Ovis aries: one gene and its partner. Each later gene encodes a partner of the first gene's protein in a complex. Links are inferred from orthologs where the notes say so. Each region holds a gene or a part of one and is shown in the gene's direction. Other genes may lie near its edges. The genes, in order: EIF3D and EIF3F.

Region 1 (4,261 bases):
CAAACAGTGGAAACAGTGTCAGACTTTATTTTGGGGGGCTCCTAAATCACTGCAGATGGTGACTGCAGCCATGAAATTAAAAGACGCTTACTCCTTGGAAAGGAAGTTATGACCAACCTAGATAGCATATTCAAAAGCAGAGACATTACTTTGCCAACAAAGGTCCGCCTAGTCAAGGCTATGGTTTTCCAGTGGTCATGTATGGATGTGAGAGTTGGACTGTGAAGAAAGCTGAGCATCGAAGAACTGATGCTTTTGAACTGTGGTGTTGGAGAAGATTCTTGAGAGCCCCTTGGACTGTAAGGAGATCCAACCAGTCCATTCTGAAAGAGATCAGTCCTGGGTGTTCTTTGGAAGGAATGATGCTAAAGCTGAAACTCCAGTACTTTGGCCACTTCATGCGAAGTTGACTCATTGGAAAAGACTCTGATGCTGGGGAGGGATTGGGGGCAGGAGGAGAAGGGGACGACAGAGGATGAGATGGCTGGATGGCATCACCTACTTGAAGGACGTGAGTTTGAGTGAACTCCGGGAGTTGGTGATGGACAGGGAGGCCTGGCGTGCTGCAGGACAAACTCCGTAGGCTGAGTTTCCAAAAAGACAGCACCGTTGCCATCGTAGCCAGGTGGTTCCTGAGTCGCCACTTCAGAATCACCACCAATTAAAATGCAGGTTTCTGGGCTCCAGCTAAGCCACGCTTGTATAACAGTCTATGGAAGGGGACCCGGAATCTTCATTTTTCAAATTAGCTCTCCAGGAATCTTTGTCAAACAAGAAAGTCTGAGAACTGTGGAGGTATGGTTTGAACACTGGCAGCGACCTCCGACACTAGTAGTCTGATCTACTCAGGTCACTTTGCACCTCCTGGTCTGTTTCCGAAAGCGCTCAAAGCTCAGCGAGTAGCCGCAAAAACCTGCCTGAAAGACTCGAACTCCCCCTAACGGTGAAACTCAAACAACACGATCTTTTAAAGAAGGCAGAAGCCGCGGGTCGTTGTGGGATACAGAGGGCCAGAGCGGCCCGCAAGGCATTGTGGGACATAGAGGGGCTTTCAGCCAGTCGCCGCTTCCAACTCCAACTACAAGGCCGCCACGTTTCAAGAAACTTGAAACTCTCGGAGTGTCGCCGGATGCCCCATGACGTAACTGTAAACATCCTCGAAGGCTAAATAAGAACACCGCGAAGAGAACAGGGACGAACTTCCGGATGTGCCTTCGCTTTACGACTCGCGTGTTCCGCCGTCGAACCGGAAGGAAGCCAAGAAGCAGTTTACGACACCGTCGGTCGTATTTACGGTGCCGGCCGCTGCGCGCGCATGTTTCCTCCTTTCCCGGTTCCCCGTAGCTCAGGCGGTGGCGCGGTATTCGGCCTAGACTATCTCTCACCATCGGGGCCGGTTACGGCCGTTACAGGTAAGCAGCGTATTCCGTACGCTTCCGCGGATCTCCAGAGCAGAGTTGAGCTGCGCCTGGCCTTCGGGGGCCTGCCGGAAGAGACTTCCGTACGCCCCCTCCTGCTTCCCTGTACCTCCGCTGGGAGGGGCAGGAATCCGCCTTCGGTCCCCCCAGGTCCGACCCAGTGCGGGGCAGAGCCTGTGGTTGAGGTCTCTTTCCGTGGAGTCCGCTTAGCGGCCACCGACAGTGTGTTCTGATGTGAACATGTCATTAACCCCGCTGAGTCTCAGGGTCTTTTAAAGTGCCCCACGGTTCCCTGAGCTTCTACGAGAGGGCTATTGGGTGTGCCAAACTGAGCGATGTTCGGCCCTGCTCTGAGGAGTTCACCGTCTAAATGTTTCTTTTCCTTGCCTATGAAATGGAAGGCTAGGATGTAGTTGGTTGATCTCTGATTTGACATTAACCGCCCAGGAATTGGCAAACGATCTGCAGTAACCTGCCAGCCACAAGGTTCTCCCTATGACTGTCCTGTTGATGCCGCCCCATCCTTTATCTGTAGCCAGTACAGCTGTCACTCCGTTTCAACTGAAAGATTTAGTTTCCCCTGTTGGTTACATTGTACTCTGCCTACTTTTTAGTTTACGCGTTGAAACCAAGCGACTTCCTTCCGCCCCTTTTAAAGTGTGTTTGGAGATATCTCACTGTGTTATTGATATGATCTGAAACCCAGGATCTTTTCAGGCTGCTGTCCAGCTGTAAAATAATGGGAAGAGTGTTACACTTAAGACAGAGGACCCTAGAAACCAAGTCTATCTTGAAATGATGAGATCAGCTGCTTGATTTGGCTGAACTGTGTATTTTTTTTTTAATCTGAAATTGGGGCCTAGGGGTTTAGTGGTGTTGCATCTGACATGTTGTAGGACCCTGGTAATATATAAGGGTATATTGTTTTGAGACCACCACACTCTCCCTCAGTCCGCTTCCTGTAGTGTAATTTAAGTTTAGGTAGGAGGATGGGGCTTCCAGGTTCATGCCCTTTTGGATCACGCAAGTGTCACCTCTAGGAACTCTCCCCATCATGGGAAAATGAAGAGAGTTTCATAAATTTAGTATTCTTTGCTCTTTGATTGATACAACTGAGCGACTTCACTTTCACTTTTCACTTTCATGCACTGGAGAAAGAAATGGCAACCCACTCCAGTGTTCTTGCCTGGAGAATCTCAGGGACAGGGGAGCCTGGTGGGCTGCCATCTATGAGGTCGCACAGAGTCAGACATGACTGAAGTGACTTAGCAGCAGCAGCTCTTTGATTGCTCCCCAGACTCTGGAAATATTTGTGTGGTGAATTTTCCCCTGGGAACTCAGCTTCTGGGCATTTTCAGGGGATTAGAATGGATGATAAATGCATGCATGAGTTTTGGGGAGGAATTGTTTGGCAGATATCTGTCGAGCCCCTGGTTTTTACTCTTCCTGAGCGGAGTACTGGCCTTACACAAAGTGTGGACTCTGAAGCCAGTTTCCCAGGGTTCAGATTTTCATCCATTAGTGTTGCAACTTTGGGCGATTTCTTGATATCTCTGTGCCTCAGTTTTCTTCTCTGGAAAGTGGGGCTAATACTGGCCCTACCTCGGGAGGAGATTGTTGAGGAGTTAATGAATTAATGTGTGGAAAGCGCTAACAACATGCCTGGTACTCATAATGTTTATGAACATTGGCTGTGTTCGGCCACTTTCATGACATAAGGCTTCTGGCTTCCTCAACCTTCTGCTGGGCTTTCTGCCTGACTTCTATGCCCTGCATAAGAATTTACACTGACAACAGAAAATTGAAAGAACAACAAAGGAAGGTTGCATTTCAGGATACATTCATGGACCCTTGTTTTTTCTCGGCACTGTGTGTAAATGTATTTTTGTAAGACAGAATAGTAAGTGTCTGGCGTTTTACAATGGAACTATTTCTGCTTATGTTAACTAATATATACAGCTTTCACAGTGATCCTCTGATGGGAATAAAACAAGGATCTTATTATTTTTCAGGTAAAGAGACTGAGGTTTAGGGGAATTAAATATTGTATGTCTGGTAAAGGTGTGAATGAAAACTGGAACCTGGTTATTAAACTCAAAAAAAAGTTAATTACATTTCATCAAGTCTGTAAGACATCACTGAATTCAAGAAGCACAATATCTTCATGTAACACTAAGAAAGAAAAGTTGCCAGATACGGTATGACACCTCATCAGTTAGAAGGTGCAGGTTCATGTCAGAGATAGTACAGTGGGAAAAAACAAATGGTGAGATATGATACATAAATTTGGTGAGCAGTCGTCTGAGTTTTAAGTATTCACAGTCTTATTCACAAGAAGATGGTAAGTGGAGAGTAGCTCAGCAGTTGAGGGTTCTGTTCTGTGTTTTGCTTTTTTAACTTTATCCTGTATTAGCTTACCTCAAATGGAAGACTTCGGGTTTTTTTGTTTGTTTGTTTTTTAGAGGCTTTTCTTCATGGAGTTACTTTGTTATTTGTATTTTTAAGGTTTTAAAAGATGGCAAAGTTCATGACACCCGTGATCCAGGACAACCCCTCAGGCTGGGGTCCCTGTGCAGTTCCGGAGCAGTTTCGGGATATGCCCTACCAGCCGTTCAGCAAAGGAGATCGGCTCGGAAAGGTGCCTGCCTGTCAGCGGGGTCTGAATCTTTTAAAGCTGCAGCTGATGCTCCAAGTTCATTTCAATTTTATTCTCTCAAAAGGATAATGGTTAGAAGCTCTGGCTACTTCCAGTGGTCATAGGAGAGCTGGGCTCTTACGAAGCTATCCTGAGCCAGTCTTTCTAACACTTTGTGACACTGTGTCCTCACTTGGGAGGAGGGGGT
Region 2 (3,036 bases), on another chromosome or scaffold:
TGTTGGCACATTGAGCTTGCAAGCAACTGGAATGCTGGGTGATGGGGGATGTTGGGAAAGGCTATAGTGGCATGCCAAAAAAGCGGCGGCTGTAGGAGTTGAAAGGATTATATTTTCTCCTTGGAATGATGCCCTTTGTTAGTGCATCTCTTACGACACTTAACTTTGTGCTGTTTCTATCTCTGACGCTGAAGTGACCCGTTAACCATTATGCGGTGGGATAGAGGTGGTGCATGTCAGTTCTTACAGGCCAGTTATTATACTACTAAACTCTATTTGTTGATTTCTTAGCCTTTCCAAATATTTCAGACTCCTGTAGATCCAACGAAAGTGTATAGTTGACTAAGTAAAGGCAGTCACCTTTACTGAGATTAATTATTGCACCCAGTCTAATCTTGATGGACCAGAATAGATTTTTTTTTTCAGTGCTGATGAGTGCTTTTTGGTCCCAGAAGAGACCTGTCCTGTCACTTCTTTCTGTGGGGAAGGATGTCTAGGCACCCAGTTCCACAGGGATATTCAGCGTCCTGTCCTCTTCACTGAGATTTCAGTGTGTGCAGTAATCCTCTGTAAAGGGTCCAGGCCCCATCCAAATGCTGAGTCCATTCTCTCAGGCCAAGAGTTTGGTTTGTGGAAAGAGCTAAGGGAAGAAAGTGGCTTGTTCTCTTCAGACCTCTGGGCTTCATCTGGTCCAACCTTCTCATCTCAGAACCTTGGAAGCCATACTCTTGATATGCCTGCTTTCCCAGCCAGGACCGAACATGGAAACTGTCCCCCAAAGCCATCTGTTAACCTTGACTTCTGTCTCTGCAGCACTTTAATGGGTGTTCCTGGGAGGACCATGGGGGTGATGTTCACCCCTCTAACAGTGAAATACACATACTACGACACTGAACGCATAGGAGGTAAGTGACCTCCCCATTTTTAGGTCCTGGACATTTTTCAAGGGAGGGGATTTCTATATAACAAGGATGGAGGACCTTGGGTGGCTTAAGAGCAACCATTGATCTAAGGTTTGTATGGGACTCAAGGAATTATTTGAGAAGTTGTTAGAGGTGGGAAATCATCAGCCCCAGAGGCTACGTGGCCAGTCATATAAGACCAAAACTAGTGATTAGCATCCTAGGTGCAGGAGTTGAACTCTCTCAGAGGAAGAAAAGCTAGTGGGGGGGGGGGGGGGGTGGGGAGTTCAGGGAAGCTGACTGAGTCCAGAAGGAGGTAGTTAGAGCTCGCTTTTCTGATGGGATGGCTGAATTCTCTTGTCTCTTGCACCCCGCCTGCTCCCACAGTTGACCTGATCATGAAGACCTGTTTTAGCCCCAACCGGGTGATCGGCCTCTCCAGTGACTTGCAGCAAGTGGGCGGGGCTTCCGCTCGCATCCAGGACGCCCTCAGCACAGTGTTGCAGTATGCGGAGGACGTGCTGGTGAGGACGGGAGGAGGAGGGCGTGGGTCTCCGCTGCGAGGCGGCAGGGGCTGCACTGGCGAAGCCGCGGTCTCAGAGGCAAGAATTAACCGTGCTACATTGACTCTTTTGGTGCTTAGTCTGGGAAGGTGTCAGCCGACAATACCGTGGGCCGCTTCTTGATGAGTCTGGTTAACCAAGTACCCAAAATAGTTCCCGAGGACTTCGAGACCATGCTCAACAGCAATATCAACGTGAGTGGCGTCCCTGGGCTCCTGGGAGCCTGCACCTCAGCACGTACACGTGTGAAGGGGGTGGAGGAGGTGGCCTGGAGAGGACAGAGGAGGTGGGGCAGCACGTTTGGCCCCCTTGCAGTCCAGGCTGTGAGGAGGAGAGCACAGGTGCTCAGAGATTCTCCTGCCGTTTCTTTGCTTCCCATGACTCGGGTGTATCAGAGATGGGACGATGTTCTCAGGCGTTTCCTTTCTGTCTTCCTCCTACTCTCAGTCAGCCTCTCCCAGCTTTCATTTGCCCAGGACTGCCTTACCCTCAGTGTCCATCACACAGCTGGCCAGCCTTTCTGCTTACTCTCTACCCAGCCCCGCACTCATCCTGGATTCCTTCTCTTCTAGGACCTGTTGATGGTGACATATCTGGCCAACCTCACACAGTCACAAATTGCCCTCAATGAGAAGCTTGTGAACCTGTGAAGGGGCCGCGGGCAACCCTCCTGCTACACTGGGCCCCAGCCAAGCCCAGGACCCAGAATGGAGTGAAGGAGAAATGGTGTCTGTGGTCTGAGTCACACTGAGTCAATCAACTGCTTGTGACTCTAAATAAACATAGAGTACCTTTCGTAAGTGAATTCCATCTAATGTGAGTTTCCCTCTGGGTGGAAGGGAAAAGGCAGTTCTGGAGCTCACCCAGGAACTAGGAAGTGAGTACTTTGGTGGAAGCGGTCGTGTGTGTGTGGTCTGAATCCAGGGCTGGATTTTTTTCTTGTGCCACTGTCTGCTTCATAGTTTAGTTGCCCAGTGAAATAACTGCTCTCATAAAGCAAAAATACAACATAATGGGAATGTAAGGGCTGACCAGAGTCTGTCAGAGTCTATGTAAGACATGATATCTGAGCTGATGTTTTTTTCTTAAAACCAGGAAATCCGGAAAGGGTGATTGGGACAAAGGAAGTACATGGAAAATTGCTTAACCTGTTTAGAATCTAAGAAGGCAGGAGCCAGACCAGAAGGGCCCACAACCTGTGGAGTTTGGATTTTTATCCTGGAAGTTGTGGGAAGGCATTGGATAATTAGATTTGGATTTCAGGAAGATTACTGGGTACTGGTATAGAGGAAGGAGGGAAAGGGAGAAAAACAGAAGGCAGAGAGCTAGGCAGAGGGTCACTGTGATTGTCAAGAGAGGACGAGAGCCCAGGTTCAGGCTGGGCCTTGGGGATGGTGACAGAGACTTGGGTTCAGGAGGCAGACCCAAGGAGGACCTGGAGTCTGGTTGACACTTGGATGGTGAGAGATGGGAGCAGTCTGGGATGTTGCCTGGTTTCTGATAAAGGTGATAAAAGGCCTGGTCATATATGAAAACCCTGGCTACTCGAGAGTGGTGGAAGCTGAGGATGC

The links.
Region 2: EIF3D (region 1) and EIF3F share a complex: the UniProt entries of both Homo sapiens proteins name them as parts of the eukaryotic translation initiation factor 3 (eIF-3) complex. The link is inferred for Ovis aries from reciprocal best matches to the Homo sapiens genes EIF3D and EIF3F.

Annotation. Positions count from the first base shown.
Region 1 is NC_056056.1:180,582,158-180,586,418, reverse strand, and holds the start of EIF3D (eukaryotic translation initiation factor 3 subunit D), read left to right. Parts: upstream 1-1,286; 5' UTR 1,287-1,412; intron 1,413-3,923; 5' UTR 3,924-3,933; coding exon 3,934-4,056; intron 4,057-4,261. UniProt on the Homo sapiens protein: mRNA cap-binding component of the eukaryotic translation initiation factor 3 (eIF-3) complex, a complex required for several steps in the initiation of protein synthesis of a specialized repertoire of mRNAs.
Region 2 is NC_056068.1:44,239,929-44,242,964, reverse strand, and holds the end of EIF3F (eukaryotic translation initiation factor 3 subunit F), read left to right. Parts: intron 1-813; coding exon 814-905; intron 906-1,289; coding exon 1,290-1,426; intron 1,427-1,545; coding exon 1,546-2,037; coding exon of another isoform or gene 2,038-2,115; 3' UTR 2,116-2,270; downstream 2,271-3,036. UniProt on the Homo sapiens protein: Component of the eukaryotic translation initiation factor 3 (eIF-3) complex, which is required for several steps in the initiation of protein synthesis.